Notamacropus eugenii: one gene and its partner. The protein of the gene in region 2 interacts with the protein of the main gene of each other region in a pairwise test. Links are inferred from orthologs where the notes say so. Each region holds a gene or a part of one and is shown on either strand. Other genes may lie near its edges.

Region 1 (7,891 bases), on a different chromosome or scaffold from region 2:
GATATTTCAGGGATCTGTGATTATCGACATGGTTACTTCCTCCATCAAGACAGACTGCAACTTCCTCTGTGCCTTAGTTTTTATGAGTTGCTGCAATAAAAGAAGTTTACCATCCTGCTGCCAAGTTAGTGGTAAGCCTTTCTGATCTTAGGTTGGTCTTCAGAAGAAGGACATACAATCTATCACTGAGTCCACACTCAAAGCTTTTTAAAAAAACATTTTTTTCCCAATTAATTAAGATGGGCCTTCTCTCCCTCCTTCTTCTCCCCTATCCTCAAACCACTGAAGAAGAAAAACAAAGCCCATCACAAACATGTATAGGCAAGCAAAACAAATTCCCACATTGGCTACATACCAAAAAAATGTCTCCTCCTGCACTGATACATCTTGACCTCTGACAGGAAGAGAATAACATGTTTCAACATCAATCTTCTGTACTTGTAGTTGGTCATTTTGTTGGTTGGAGCTCAGTCTCCCTAAGCTGCCTTTACAGCAACATTATTAAACAAATTGTTCTAATTCTGCTCACTTTACTTGGTCATCGGTTCACAACAAGCTTTTTCAGGTTTTTCTCAAACCATCCCCTCTTCATTATTTCTTATTGCAAAATAGTACTCCTCGAAGGAGGAGTCAAGATGGCAGAGTAGAAAGATACACATATGCTAACACAGCCCATAAATTACCTGTAAAGAAGAATTCCCAACAAATTCTGAAGCAGCAGAAGCCACAGAACAATGGAGTGGAGGAGATTTCTGTTCCAGAGAGCCCTGAAAAACTGACACGAAAGGTCCGTTGCACCCGGGACCCAGAGTAGAGCCCAGCCTTGTCTCAGCCAGGGCACCAAGAGGAGCAGATCTGAGCAGGCTTCAGGGACAGAATCTCTAGCAGTCGCGCAGGTCCCTCCACCCACAGGGGCAAAGGTCAGTGAGAGGGTCTCTTTGGGTGGCTGAGAGGGGAGTGGGGTGTCTCCATAACTCAGGCCCCCTTGGGAGGCAGCAGCAGAGGCAGCAGCAGACAAGGGCTGCCAAAGCAGGCAGGAGCTCAGATCCATTGTTGGAGGTCTCCCCATAAACCCCCTGAGGGAACTGAGCCCCGGGAAGCGGCCCTGCCCCCACCTGAGCACCTGAACTTAATCTCATACTGAATAGCAGCCCCACCCCTGCCCAAAGCCCTGAGGCTGGGAAGCAGCATTTGAATCTCAGACACCAACCGATAGCTGGGTGGATCTGGAGGTGTGGTGGGTGTGAAGAGGAAGCTCAGAAGTCAAGTCACTGACTGGGAAAATGCCCAGAAAAAATAAGACCATAGAAGGTCACTTTCTTGGTGAACAGATACCTCCTCCCATCCTTTCTGATGAGGAAGAACAATGCTTACCATCAGGGAAAGACATAGAAATCAAGGCTTCTGTATCGCAAACATCCAAAATAAATATTCAATGGGCTCAGGCCATGGAAGAGCTCAAAGAGGATTTTGAAAATCAAGTTAGAGAGGTGAAGAAAAACTGGGAAGAGAAATGAGAGAGATGCAAGAAAAGCATGAAAAGCAGGTCAACACCTTGCTAAAGGAGACCCAAAAAAATGCTGAAGAAAATAACACCTTGAAAAATAGGCTAACTCAATTGGCAAAAGAGGTTCAAAAAGCCAATGAGAAGAAGAATGCTTTCAAAAGCAGAATTAGCCAAATGGAAAAGGAGGTTCAAAAGCTCACTGAAGAAAATAGTTCTTTCAAAATTAGAATGGAACAGATGGAGGCTAATGACTTTATGAGAAACCAAGAAATCACAAAACAAAACCAAAAGAATGAAAAAATGGAAGATAATGTGAAATATCTCATTGGAAAAACAACTGACCTGGAAAATAGATCCAGCAAAGACAATTTAAAAATTATGGGACTACCTGAAAGCCATGATCAAAAAAAGAGCCTAGACATCATCTTTCATGAAATTATCAAGGAAAACTGCCCTGAGATTCTAGAACCAGAGGGCAAAATAAGTATTCAAGGAATCCACCGATCGCTGCCTCAAAGAGATCCAAAAAGAGAAACTCCTAGGAACATTGTGGCCAAATTCCAGAGTTCCCTGGTTAAGGAGAAAATATTGCAAGCAGCTAGAAAGAAACAATTCAAGTATTGTGGAAGTACAATCAGGATAACACAAGATCTAGCAGCTTCTACATTAAGGGACTGAAGGGCATGGAATAGGATATTGCAGAAGTCAAAGGAACTAGGACTAAAACCAAGAATCACCCACCCAGCAAAACTGAGTATAATACTTCAGGGGAAAAAATGGTCTTTCAATGAAATTGAGGACTTTCAAACATTCTTGATGAAAAGACCAGAGCTGAAAAGAAAATTTGACTTTCAAACACAAGAATGAAGAGAAGCATGAAAAGGTAAACAGCAAAGAGAAGTCATAAGGGACTTACTGAAGTTGAACTGTTTACATTCCTACATGGAAAGACAATATTTGTAGCTCTTGAAACTTTTCAGTATCTGGGTAGTTGGTGGTATTACATACATACACACACACACACACACACACACACACAGAGCACAGAGTGAATGGAATAGGATGGGATCATATCTTAAAAAAATTAAATTAAGGGGTGAGAGAGAAATATATTAGGAGGAAAAAGGGAGAAATGGAATGGGGCAAATTACCTCTCATAAAAGAGACAGGCAAAAGACTTTTTAGTGGAGGGAAAAAGAGGGGAGGTGAGAGAAAAACATGAAGTTTACTCTCATCACATTCGACTAAAGGAAGGAATAAAATGCACACTCATTTTGGTATGAAAACCTATCTTACAATACAGGAAAGTGGGGGAGAAGGGGATAAATAGGGTGGGGGGATGAGGGAGGGGAGGGCAATGGGAGAAGGGAGCAATTTGAAGTCAACACTCTTGGGGAGGGACAGGATCAAAAGAGAGAATAGAAGCAATGGGGGGCAGGATAGGATGGAGGGAAATATAGTTAGTCTTACACAACACAACTATGATGGAAGTCATTTGCAAAACTACACAGATATGGCCTATATTGAATTGCTTGCCTTCCCAAAGGGAATGGGTGGGGAGGGAGGGATGAAGAGAAGTTGGAACTCAAAGTTTTAGGAACAACTGTCGAGTACTGTTCTTGCTACTAGGAAATAAGAAATACAGGTAAAGGGGTATAGAAAGTTATCTAGCCTACAGGACAAAGGAGAAGATGGGGACAAGGGAAGGGAGGGATGATAGAGGAGAGGGCATATTGGTGATAGGGGAAATTGGAATGCTCAGTGATTTGGGGTGGGAGGAGGGGACAAATGGGGAGAAAATTTGGAACCCAAAATTTTGTGCAAATGAATGTTAAAAGTTAAATAAATTTTTTAAAAAGTAGTACTCCTCACCATTCATACATCCTAACTTATTCAGCCATACCACAATTGATGGGTAACCCATTACCGATTATTGTAAACACAAAAGAGCTATTATATTTCTGTATCTATGGTCCTCTTCTTTTTCTTTTGACTCTCTTTGGGGCACAGAACTAATGTTGGTATTGCTGGGTGGTACATAGATTAATAACTTCTGGGACACAGTTCTAAATTCCTTTTCAAAATGACTCAACCAGTTCAATTCCATCAGCAGTGCATTCATGCACCTGTTTGTTTTCCACTACCCTTCAGCACTTGTCACTTTCCTTTGTGTCAATCTAATAATGGGTGTGAGGTGGAACTTCAGAGTTGTTTTAATTTGCATCTGTCTATTAGTGATTTAGGGCATTTTTTTCATGTCTATTGACAGCTTGGATTTCTTCCCCTGAAAAATGACTAATCATATCTTTTCATCATTTTTATCAACTGGGGAATGGCTTTAAAGCTTTTCCAATGTGCGATAAGCCCTGTCAGAGCCCTTAACTCACTCTCAGTCTTTGAAGACAAGGTGACCTCTGCCACAAATGAGAACCTAGAAATTTAATGTGTGTAGGATTTTAATAAAAGGTCAAGTACATCTATACCTAAATAGACATGAATTACCATCGATGTTAACAGTCCTATGAAAAATGCAGAGGAAGTTTTACTGGTTGGCAGATGAAAAAACTGAAGCACAGAAAAATTAAATGACTCCCACAGGAAGTAGCAGTTCTACTAAACCCTGTCAGTTCTGCGTACTTCCTCATACACACTACTAACAAGCATTTCATTTTTTAAAATATATTTTATTTCATTAAATATTTCCCAATTACATGTAAAAAAATGTAAACATTAAAAAAAAAATTTTGGAGTTCTAAATTCTTTCCCTCCTTCCTTGACAATGTCTCCCACCCCCTGAGAAGGCGAGCAATATATCGATTACACATGTGAAGTCCTGCAAAACATATTTCCCTATTACCCATGTTGCAAAAAAAAAAAAACCAGTGCCCCTAAAGAAAATTAATAAAAAATTTAAAAGTACCCTTCAGCCTGCACTGAGTACATCACTCATCTCTCTGGAACATTTTTCCTCGTGGGTTCTCTGGAATTTGTCTTGGATTATTCTGATCAGAGAAACGCTTTGAAGGAAACTTTTTGTAAAGCAGATATTCCCCATTCATGGATTTCCCAAGCACGCTGTCTAAACTAGACTTTGTTTTAAGCTGAGCATTCAATTTCACACGTGTTGATTGGAGATGATTTCTGCCACCAGCTGAATTCCTTCTAAAAGGCAGGAATCGGAGAAAGGGGCACTCCAGGGACGCCCCGGGAAACGGAGAAGGGCTTTTTACTCGAAAACCCGGGGGCAGGGCTGTTTTCCGTGCTCGGCTCTCCCCCGGACAAAGGGTTCGTCCTTACAATGACAGAACACCCCGTCCTTTTCCCCACCCCACCCCCAGGGCCTGCGTTGCTAGCCTCGCAGATGTGGAGAGCAAGGCACGCCCCCTCACCCGCTGCTGCCCGTCTACCAGGGAAAATACGGTAACCCGGGGTGAAGCCCCAAAGGCGACCATTCCTTAGGCGATCAGGAGCACGGGCTTCCAGGCAAGCCTCGGCCCCCGGACTATCCCGGGGAAGGCGTCCTTTTCCGCCCGGAGAACCTCAGTTTCCCTCATATGTAAATGAAGGAGGGGCGGGGCTGAGAATTCAAAAGGCCCCTTTCTCACTTGACTTCCTGTGACTCTGCGTTCTCAAGCCCTCCCTCGATTCAGCCAAACGGACGTGAAAAGAATAAAACGAGAGGCTGGAAGGTACAAAGTCCTCGGCGTCTTCCCCTTCACTTTCAGGAAGCGGACACACCTCCCCGCCCGGGGCATGACGTTAGCCAATCGCCACAGCGAGCGCGAGGCCCGGGCAACGAGTGCCTCGCTGGGTCAAAAGCGGCCCTGCCTGAGGTCTGGAAGGGGTGGGGCTACGTTCGCTTGCCCTCATCCAACATGGCGCGCCGGGAAGTGGAGAGAGGCGCATCGTTTGGCCTTGCGGGTCAGTTTCCCTGATCAAAGATGGCGTCTAAGGCGTTCTTTCCTTCCCTTCCCCCCTCCACCCAAGCGCTCCTCCCCGACCCCTCCCCGTCACGCGGGCCCCGCCTCCCACTCCTCAAAGCCGTCCAGCTTCCAGTCTCCGGGCCAGGCGCACTCGGTGGCGCGTTCTCTCCACCCGGGGCAGGTAGGGATCGTCTCTTTGGACATGGCGGCGACTGCGGCGGCGTCGGGGTCTTCGGCGACTGGGACGAAGGGAAATGGGAGCGGCGGCCGGCCTGGGCCCAGTGAAGCCGGCGGGCCGCGGAAGAAGAAGGGGCCGGGGCCCCTGGCCACCGCGTACCTGGTCATATACAATGTGGTGATGACTGCGGGGTGAGGAGGGGAAGGGGCCGCAGGTGACAGGGGCGGGGGATGGGGTGGGAGGGAGAGTTGAACCTGGGCGGGGGGGGGGGGGTCCCCCCGCGAGCCCGGAGACCTCCAGCGAGCATGCGCCCTGACTGCGGGCGTCCCTTCATTCATTCATTCTCTAACCTGTTCCACGAAGCGGGACTACGGAGCTGGGGCTGAAAAGATGAATGAAGCCAGCCCAGCCCCTGCCCCCCGGGGCTCCGCGCGTCCTTACGGAGGAGCGAGTCTGGTGCGGGATTTAGGGATGGGCGGGGGAGGGAACGCCGAGAGCAAAGGGCCGAAAGGGAGTGGACCGAGCCCGAGAGGAAATCGGGGAGGATGGGCAGGCAGTGTCCATTAAAAACCGATGGTGCGAAGCCTGGAAACGCAGAGGAGCTGGTTGAAGGTTTTGGCCGGGGTGTGTAGAAGCGATCCCAGGGGAGGGAAGCTGGAGGAAAACAGACTTGTGGGACAGAGAGTCTGGGTTGGGGGGTGGCATGGGAGAGACCCAGGAGATGGGGAGCTGAGTGTCTTGGGAGGCAACTGCAAAGATTCCCACCCGAGCTGGTTTTAGGGAGGCAGAAGGTCTAATATATGGAGGACTTTTTTTTTCTTCTTCTATGTATGGGAAAGACAGAGGCTTATCGATATAAAAAGGGCCAGAGAGGAGTTTGAGAAATTCAGATTGTAGCCGAGTGATCAGAAGGGAATCTTAATAACATAATCTGGAGTATGAATTGGGGGGAGGGGGAGGTGTCTTCAACTGGGAAGAATTTGAGTAGATTGAGAAAAATTAACCTATTGCCAGGATGTTGATAACTTACTTTTCTTTCTTTTGGGAAGTCTTAAAACAAATTTTTTTTTGTCCCTCAAAGGACCTAGTACAGTGTTTTGCACATTCTTTGCACTTAATGATTATTACCACTACACTTGGTGCCTAATGAATACCTGATTTGGAAAAAAAAAATCATTTAAACATTTAAAGAGACCTTAATTTTTTAGTATTCTTAAAATGTCACAGATTCAGTCTAATGGGGGAAAGACTGCTGAACTAGTAAAAACTCTGAATGTAGACCCAAAATAGTAAACTTTCAAGGTATAATAGTCAAAATAGACTAAAATGTTCTCAGAGGTTTCTAGAAAACTTTAATGAACCGACTGCATGTGCCAGTTTGAGGATTTGGAAGTACTTAAGGATCCCTTAAAATCATTGTTTTGATGTTTATTTTTTGGTTCCTCAGTTGTTGGAAAGTCAATTTCAACCCTGTTTGGGCAGTTTTGAATCCATTATCATAGGAATTGAAGAGGTTTACCATAATTCACAGAGAATTAGAAGTGTTCTCTGAGTCCTGGACATGGGCTGTATAGATGAACTGAACAGGCCGACCAGCCAGGAATGGTGCCTGTGCCACTGCCTAGTGCCCTTTCTCAGGCTTTTCCAAAGTACGCTCTGCAGCTTCAGACATTTGGGCATAGATGTGCACTTCTCTCTACCTTGGGGCATCAGTTATTAGGCTTCTGTCCAGAGCTACATTCTAATTCGGAGGGTTAGTTGGAGGTGGGCAAGAGGAAGGACTGAACTTCGTTTCCCAGTGGGGTTTCCATCTTTGGTTGGTTGGGAGCTGGACCAAAGTGTTTATATTAAACCATCTTTTCTTTCATTATCAATACTCAGGATAAAAAAGTATTTTATCCAATTTTACTATTTTTCTTGGTATCAAGTACTGATGTTAATATTAATTCTTACTACTTTTCACTGTAAATATATTATGACTTTTTTGGTTTGGCCAAAGAACTTCCACAGCTTCCCCTTCACTTGCACCTCTCCATTTTATAAAATTATTTCTTTGGGGAAATGCATTGTGAGTTCAAAGCAACTGATTTCTAAATGAACATTTGGAACTCTACTAATTCATAAGTTGGAAACTACCCGATTTCTTCAGTAAATAGTAAAAATCTTTATTGACAGATAAGAAAACTGAGGCCTGAAGAGATAAGGAGATTTGTCCAAGCATACGCAGGTAGTTGGTGATAGCCTGTATTAGAACTTACCTAGTTAAGTCATCTTTTACTAACT
Region 2 (8,428 bases):
AATCATAACAAGTTCAATCACTCCTCTATACAAACAGCCCTCCAAAATGTGAAGAAAGCATGCCCCTAGCTAAGTCTTCTCTCCTCTTTTCCAGAATAACTTGGTCTCCAGTCACCTCATGGCATTATATTCACCCTATGAACTATCAAGAGTAATACTTTCCTGGAAACAGTCATTCCTTCAACAAGCATTTATTAAGTTCCTGTTCTGTTAAACACTAGAGATACTAAGTTGGGTAAAAAAAAAATTTATTTTTGAAGCAATTTTTCTATATGAAAATAGGCTTACTTTCCCCTGCTTTGCTCCCAAATTTCCTCAACCTTTGCTTTATTACACGGATAAAGGCAACTAGACAAAATGAAGGATTAGAAGTCAGAGGACCTAGGTGCTCCTCCCAGCTTAACTTCTTACTGTGTAACCTAGGGAGTTACTTAACCTCTTAGGCCTGCAGCTTCTTCAACTGTAAAACAAAGGGAGGCCTCTAAGATTCTATCCAACTTTTTACAGTTATTCGTGGCTTTAAAAGCTACATGTCCTCTCCACTATGATCCCTTAGATTTATGAATTTCATCAAGAGCTGACCCCAAATTGTTTTGTTTCACAGGCAAATCTGTCTTGGAAAACCTAGCTCTAATTAGTTCTGTGGTTGCCAGTTTAAGGGGCTGGTGACACACAGGCTCCTCTATAAACTACAGAACCTAAAAGTGCTATCCCCTCTCAGCAGGCAAGAACACATTCAAAGATGTTGATGAATTATCAACAAATAATAATGCATTGTCCCCAAATCCAGTCAACGTTCAGTCATTCTGAACAGTGGATACAAAGCAACATCTTTCTTAAAAGGAACCAAGTGATCTCATTGTTAGAAGACAGAAATGGGAGTAGTTGCAGGTGAGTGTAATTTCTTCTGTGTAATTATACCCTGTGAAGGGGGAACTATTTTAATTTCAATGGTATTAAATACAACAAAACCCAAAAGCAGCCTAATTAACTTTAGCATATATGATGAATTCTACATGTCAAATGAAACCTTACTTTTTTTACAAATGTTACAACAAGGGCAAGGAAAAGGAGAAGGAAACTATTTTACAAAGACATAACAATCATAAAGTTAAGTGAACTTTGAGATCTGATCCAACCCCCTTAATCTTGTTCAGTTGTTTCAATTGTGCCCAACTCTTTGTGACTTCATTTGAAGTTTTCTTGGCAGAGAGACTGATTTGCCATTTCCTCCTCCAGCTCATTTTACAGATGAAGAAACTGAGACAAACAGTTAACTTACCCAGAGTCACACAGTCTAATAAGTATCTAAGGCTGAATTTGAACTCAGGTCTTCCTGACTCCTGGTGCTCTATTCACTCTACCACCTAGATGTCTTTTATCTTATAGATGAATAAAAAATGGTTAAGGACCTATAGGAGGAATTCTCACAAAAATCTTTTAAAAGGGAAAGGGTAGCAGTAATTACATCTCCCAAAAAATAAAGACAAAATATAGGGGATACAGTACTGGACTTGGAGTCAGAAAGACTCAGGTTCAAATCCTGCCTCAGACTCACTAATTGTGTAACTTAACTTCTCTCAGGTTTAGTTTGTTCACCTGTAAAATGAAAAGGAGTTAAATTATACGACCTCTAACATCTCTTCCAACTCTAAATCTATGAACCTACGATCCAGTAGGTTGACATAATGATGACAGATACATAATATTAGAAGTCCTAGACTGAGGAATCAAGAGACAGTGTATATAGTTTATAAAAGAAACCTGGAAAATTAGAATTCAGTTCTGCTACTTACTGTTTGAATGTGGGTCTCTGTTTCCCATAAAATGAGAGAATAAGATTAGATGATCTCTACAGTGCCTTCATGCTTTAAAACCCATAACCATAAGAACTGGGAAAGGCCTAAATCCTGATGGCTTCATGTGTAGTAACTTCAGCCTGATAAGACTCAAGTTCTAGACTAGACCTAAGACAGACTACTTTCCACATTTTTATCGATTTTGAAATGGGCAGATTGTTTTAGCTGACATCCTGAGATTATAAGATCCCCAGGAAGGCTTATCAACTGTACTGATCAGACAGGACAAATCTGGAGATGCCGTTGGCAAGGCTCTGCTATCACCTTCCCCCTAAATAAGAATTACAGCAAAGTGCACAGGGCACAAGCTCAGGAGAAGGGGTATTCTATACCCCTACAAAGGTGTACAAACGTCAAACAGGTGACAGTTGATAATGTTTAATATAAAATTTTGGAATAATCTCTTTGTTCTCTCTGAAGCAAACTCAGAGGGTGCCTCTTCCTATGTTAACAAAGCCAGCCAAGGCTGACTCTACATTCCTTAGGAGACCTTTAACCTAGGACATTATCTTGAATAATGGGACTTTCCTTTATATCTTATTATCTATAGACATATACTATGTTATGGCATATTAATGGTAAAGAAAATATAGACATCTTAGGTCGTAATTTCTATTGAACTTTGTTTACCCTTTTCTACGTCAATTATCTGTTTAGGGCAGGAAGCCTGCCACTCACTAGTGGTGGGATTTCTTTCCTTGTCACCAAGACGTATGTTTACACAGCCTGGAATCCCAAGGCCCAACTGACATTACTTTGTTAATTGTCTTGTCTTACTGAATTTATGATTTGTTCAACTAGGAGAGTTCCTTTCTCATGGCAAAATGTATATAAGCCAGAAGATTTCTGCACTGGGTAGCCAGAACATTTCTGGCTCCATAATACATTATGTTAACGTTTTCTTTAATAGGGAATTGATTAATTAATTAAATCATAAAATGTATGCATTTAGCCTGTTGCCTTTTCTTAACCAAGTTTTCAGGTCAACACAGTTGATAAGGTACATGGTGCATCCAGGTTGGTGCAAGTTCTCCTCGCTCCCACCAGGATCTGAAGACTGCTACCTCCTCCTAACCAGGAATAGGATAAATCGATACATATTGATCAACTCGGTGCCTGCTATGAACCAGAGCAGCAACAGTACAAGGGAAAGTGGGTTCAGGACACCCAGACCCAAACCTGGCCAGGCTCGTCATTCATTACCAGTGTGACCTGGGCCAGTCATTTCCCTTCTCCCGGCCCCAGCTTCTCCTTCTTTACAAGGAGAGACTCTTCCAGCTCGGAGAAAACTAAACCTGCTTCTAGCACAACAAGAATAACCAAACATCCCGCACCGGGACCCTCCACCCCTGCCCCCAGGCTCCATCTGCACGTCATAAATACCGCTCCCCACCTCCCTGAACATGCGCACTAACACCTACCCGCGGCCTGAGGCACTTCGTGCTCTAACTGCGCCTGCGTCCTCCTCTCAGCCTCAGAGCCCGGGGCTGTTTGGGGTTTGGGGTCACGGGACTATTTAAGGTTTGCGTTGAGTCTTGGGGTTTTGTTGGGGCTTTTTGTGCGGCAGGGGTCTTCTCGATCCTGAGGAGAGTCTCCGTTGCGCTTGTGGCGCTCCTCCCCGTCTCCTTGCCCTTCCTCCCCCCTCACTCCCACCCCCAGCCAGATGAGTTTGTCTCTCCTTACCTCACAGTGCTTCATGGCTCCCTCTCACCCACGAGCCGCAGCCGCCTCCTAGCTCGCGACAACCACTGCTGAGAGCCTCACTCCTGGCTCACACCCGGCCTAGGCTACCAACGACGCCCGCCCACCAGCCCCCTGCCCCTCCCCCTCCCACCTCGTGCGCGCCTCGCCGGCCAATCAGCGCCTAGTGGGAAGACACGAGGGGGAGGGGAGGAGGGAAGCGCTCTCACCTTTGACCTAGCACCACGCGCGAGGCTGCGCAGGATCCCAGATGGTTACCTCCTCGCGCCACACGGCTGACCAATGAGCTTGTGGAACCGGCGGCCCGCTGAGGGGTGGTAGGACCAGACGGGGGGGGGGGGGGGCGATGCAGCTCTCGCAGCCAATCAGGAGAGGGAGTAGACTCTGCCCTTGCCTCACCCCCACGCTTCCCTATGGAAACCGAAGGTAGTGACGGTTATTGGAGGCGGGGAAAGCAGCGGTTGAGTGACAGGAGCGTGGGACGAGCCGAAGCAGGAGCAAACATGGCGGGCGGGGGAACCCAGTTGCGGGACTGATAGGTGGGCATCTGCGGACCCTGGGCGCGGGGATGACCATCTGACCCAAAGACCTACCCCTGGAAGATAGGAGCGGGCCGGCCTGGCGGGCTGAAGGAACTGGGGGCGTGTGGCGCCCACTAGGCCGCAGGGGAGCCTGGTGGTGAGGGGGTCCCTTGAGGTCTCTCCATTTCTACAGGCTTGGGGGGAAGGGGCGCGGGAAGGGGGAGCCGCGTGGTCCCTGTCTCCCATAGGTAATCATATATACATATATAATTTGTTGTTCAGTCATGTGTGACTCCTTGTGACCCAGTTTGGGATTCTCATGGCGAAGATACTGGAGTGGTTTGCCATTTCCTTCTCCAGCTCATTTTACAGATGAGGAAACTGAGGCAAGCAGGATTAAGTGACTTGCCCAGGATCACATAACTAGCTGGTGTAGGAGGTTGGATTTGAATTCGGGAGCATGACTCGTCCTGACTCCAGATCTGGTACTCTATCCACTTAGCCACCTAGCTACCCCTACATATGTGTGTATATATGTATATATACACACATACACATATGTACCTTCATATTTTAAAAATATATCCATCTGCCTGCCTACCAGTATTCTCCAGTTTAACTGGAAGCCCCCTGAGGTCAAGATGGGGAAATCTGCTTAAAAGATAATTGTTGCATGGGATTGAATGAATCCTAAAGTCTTTCTTTCCTGGACAACCCTGCCTTGCACCATAATAGCAAGAATTGGCCTCAACTAGATAACATTTCAGCAAGCCTCTCTGTAGCAATTTTTAAGCCATGGGAGACATCTGGGTCAGAAAGGAAAGGACACCAAACTTGCAGATTTGAGTTCCAGCCTGCCTATCTGTAACACATGATGTTGAACACCACTTTTTCTAGACCTCAAGCTTTTCTTATCTCATTTTGGAGAAGAGGTTAAATCAAATCTTTATGTTCTCTTCCAAGTGATGAATCCTAGGAACCCACTGTAGACTGGGTTCTTACCCTTTCTGTTCCCAAAGGTCAATAGAAAATGGCTAACTCCTTTAGAGAAGGGAACTCCTCTCTTGGCATAGTATATTCAGGCAAATTCTAGTGCAAAGAAAATTAAGTGGGAGTCATGAGACTTTTCTTCAAATCCCATCTCAATTATTAACTGTGTGACTTTGGTCAAGCCTTCTCCATACCTCCATTTCCTCATCTGTAAAATGTCTAGATGGGATTAGATGGGTCTCTCAAGTCCCTAACAGCTCATTTTGTGTGATTCTATGATTCTCTAACCTGGTTTGGGGCTTAGGGAGCTGAGATTGGCATTTGTTTACTCCTAGGTTTAGCCAGATGGGGCATGACCCAAAGAATGTTCAGAGGATCACACTTTTTCACCATTTTCATTCTTTGCTCTCTCCCCCAACAACAGGTGTCCAACTACCAATCAGCACTGAACTGCTCACTTTCTGGTAGGTGGGTCAGACTGTTGCATCCAGCCAGAAGCCTTTGCAACCTGAATTGAAGCCAAAGACAGACACCAGAATCAGTAAAGGTAACCCACTGACTTACATGGAAATAGAAAAGACTTTAAGCACATTCCAAGTCAATGAGTCATCCTGGTTTATGGAAAACTATGATTTTCCATTACCTTTAGTTCATTCTTATTGGGAAGCTACAGTGCCCTACATCAGTTTATCACCCTTTTGCTTGCTTGCCGGGGGGAAAGAACTAATAAGCTTTCTAGAGTCATGTCGCAGTCCCACAAAACTACCAATATCAAGTAGAAGGAGAAGGCAGGCAGTGTAGTAGGTAGAGAGCTGGCCTTGGAACACAGAAGAAATGAGTTCATGGTCTACCTGTGATACACACTGAATATGGGACTCTGAGGAAGTCACTTAACTGCTTAGTGACCTAGGTGTGGGACAATAAGTTGAGGAGAAAGTGCTGACCATCTGTAGGAAGAGGGAGTTTTCTCATCCAGAAATTCCCTGTACCAGTGTAATCACAGGTGCAATCCCTGTCCCCATCAAGTAGAAAGCACTGAGATTAAGAGTGATCAGAAGCAATCTCATTTAATTTTGCTGAGCCTCAGTTTTCCACCAATGTTTCAAAAGATCTCCAGTTCCAGAGGTGTAAGAGTAAGGATCTGTCTTATCAAAACATTTTAGCTCTCTTAGTTTGTTTCAGAGTAGGCATTTAGTGTTTCTTGAATAAAATTTAATCATGACCATTCCATGTCTTAGTAGTTGGTTTCATAAGTTGGTATGGTTAAAAAAAAAAATCGTTGGATTCCCAGCAACTCTGAAGTCATATGACAGTCATCCAAAAAGGAACCTTTCCAGTTTGTGGGACCTGTCAGAGCTTGTGCTCCCTAACAGAGGCTTTGGGAACCCAGGATGACTCATCTGCATGCCAAGATGAGAGAGTGGTATAGGATTTTAGTGAAAATTTGAATCTGAAAAAAAAGAGATAATATTAAGTCAAATCCTCCATTTATAGTGGAAAGAGTGCAGCATTTGGAGTCAAGAAACCTGACTCTGTCCCTGGTTTCATGTCTTTTTTTTTTCTGGCAAATCATTTAATCTCTGAACTTCATTTTCTTCATCAACAGAACGGCAATAACAGTATATTAGCTACATCACAGATGTGTCTCAAAGAAAGAAGTATAAGTACTAATTTTTAAAAATTTTTATTGATATATTTCTTTTTTGCTTCACCTACATTTCTTAACAAATCCCTCCCCCCAACATTCAGAGAGCAAAAAATTTTTAAAGGGGAAAAACAGTTCAGCAAAACTAAGATATTGAAAACTCTAATGTTGTGTGTGGTGCTCAAAGCCCCCAAATCTCTACAAAGAAAGGCTGAGGTGCTTTCCCCTCTCTGCTCTTTGGGGCTACATTTGGCCACTGTAATTTCCCAGTGTTTGGTTGCAGTTGTTTTGTTGTTACCATCGATATTGTTACAGTCAATATGTGGATTCTTTTCCTGGTTCTGTTTACTTTGCATCAGTTCACATGTGTCTTTCCAGGCTTCCTTGTATTCCTCATATTCATGTTTCTCATCAGATTCCACTATATTCCCAAACCACAGTTTGTTTGACTGTTTCCCCATCAATGGGCAGCTATTTCATTTCCAGCTCATTGCCACTACAAAATGTGATGCTATAAATATTTTGTTATAGATAGAACCTTTCTTTTTGTCATTGACCTTTCAGGTCAGTGCCTAAGGGATTTGGGGTGTGGGAGAGGAGACACACAGTTAAGTGGGGCAGTGAATAGAATGCTGAGCCTGGAATCGACAATGCCTGAGTTCAAATCCAGCCTCAGATACTTAGTAGTTGTGTGACCCTGAGCAAGTTACTTAACCTTTGTTTGCCTCAGTTTCTTCATCTGTAAAATGAAAATAATAGTAGCAACTATTTCCCATGGTGTTGTTAGGATCCAATGAGATAATTTTAGAGCACATAGTAAGCGCTATATATATGTGATGGTGATAATGATGATGTCTAACAGCACAGACTCTGGGTCAGATTAACAAAAGTAACATTTTTATTACTTTTTTTGCATAATAAACCTATTCACAGCTCCACCAACAGTGCATTATACTGTTCCTGTCCTTCTACCACCCCTTCGACATTGACTTTTCCTGTCTTTTGTTATCTTTACCAGTTAGTGATTTGGAACATTATTTCATATGACTATTAATGGTTTACAATTCTTCTTTTGAGAACAGTTTGTTAATATCTTTTGACTACATATCTATTGGGTATTTTTTTTTATTTTAGATATTTTAGTTGCCTATATGGAGAGTCCCAAAAATCTTGGTGCAGTTTTAATCTAAGCTACATTGACTTTTACAAATGACCCTGTACATCTTGAATATCAGACCTTTGTCAGAGATATTTAATATAAAGTTTTTTCCCCAGTCAATCACTTTTTATTCTAGTTGCATTAATTTTGTTTGCTTAGAAAAATTTTCAATTTCAAGTAATCAGAATTATCTTTTTTATCATTTGCGATTGTCTCTATATCTCATTAGAATTCACACACTAGCCATTACTGTGTGAAAGTTTCCATTTTGGTTCTCCTCCAGGTCACATATCCATTTTGAATTTATTGTGAATTTTGGAATGAGATATTAATCTAAACCTAATTTCTTTCCATTTCTTCCAATTTTCCCATTAATTCTTGTTAAACACAGGAATCCTCCAGATGATTTGAATTTATTAAACATCAAATTATTGACTTCAGTTGTTTCTGACTCTTTCTTCTCTAATCTTCCACTGATGTATTTTCCTACTTTTTTTAGCCAGTACCAAGTAGAACTCTGTGGTTAGTTCCTTACATAAATTGAGGTCTTCTG

Evidence for each region.
Region 1: the proteins of TECR (region 2) and HACD2 interact in binary tests that used the Homo sapiens proteins (3 or more experiments, as listed by UniProt). The link is inferred for Notamacropus eugenii from reciprocal best matches to the Homo sapiens genes TECR and HACD2.

What each region holds. Positions count from the first base shown.
Region 1 is NC_092876.1:340,377,216-340,385,106, forward strand, and holds the start of HACD2 (very-long-chain (3R)-3-hydroxyacyl-CoA dehydratase 2), read left to right. Parts: upstream 1-4,181; 5' UTR 4,182-5,260; coding exon 5,261-5,799; intron 5,800-7,891. UniProt on the Homo sapiens protein: Catalyzes the third of the very long-chain fatty acids (VLCFA) elongation four-step cycle (condensation, reduction, dehydration, and reduction).
Region 2 is NC_092875.1:76,420,946-76,429,373, forward strand, and holds the start of TECR (very-long-chain enoyl-CoA reductase), read right to left. Parts: upstream 3,236-8,428; 5' UTR 3,226-3,235; coding exon 3,063-3,225; intron 1,814-3,062; coding exon 1,797-1,813; intron 1-1,796. UniProt on the Homo sapiens protein: Involved in both the production of very long-chain fatty acids for sphingolipid synthesis and the degradation of the sphingosine moiety in sphingolipids through the sphingosine 1-phosphate metabolic pathway.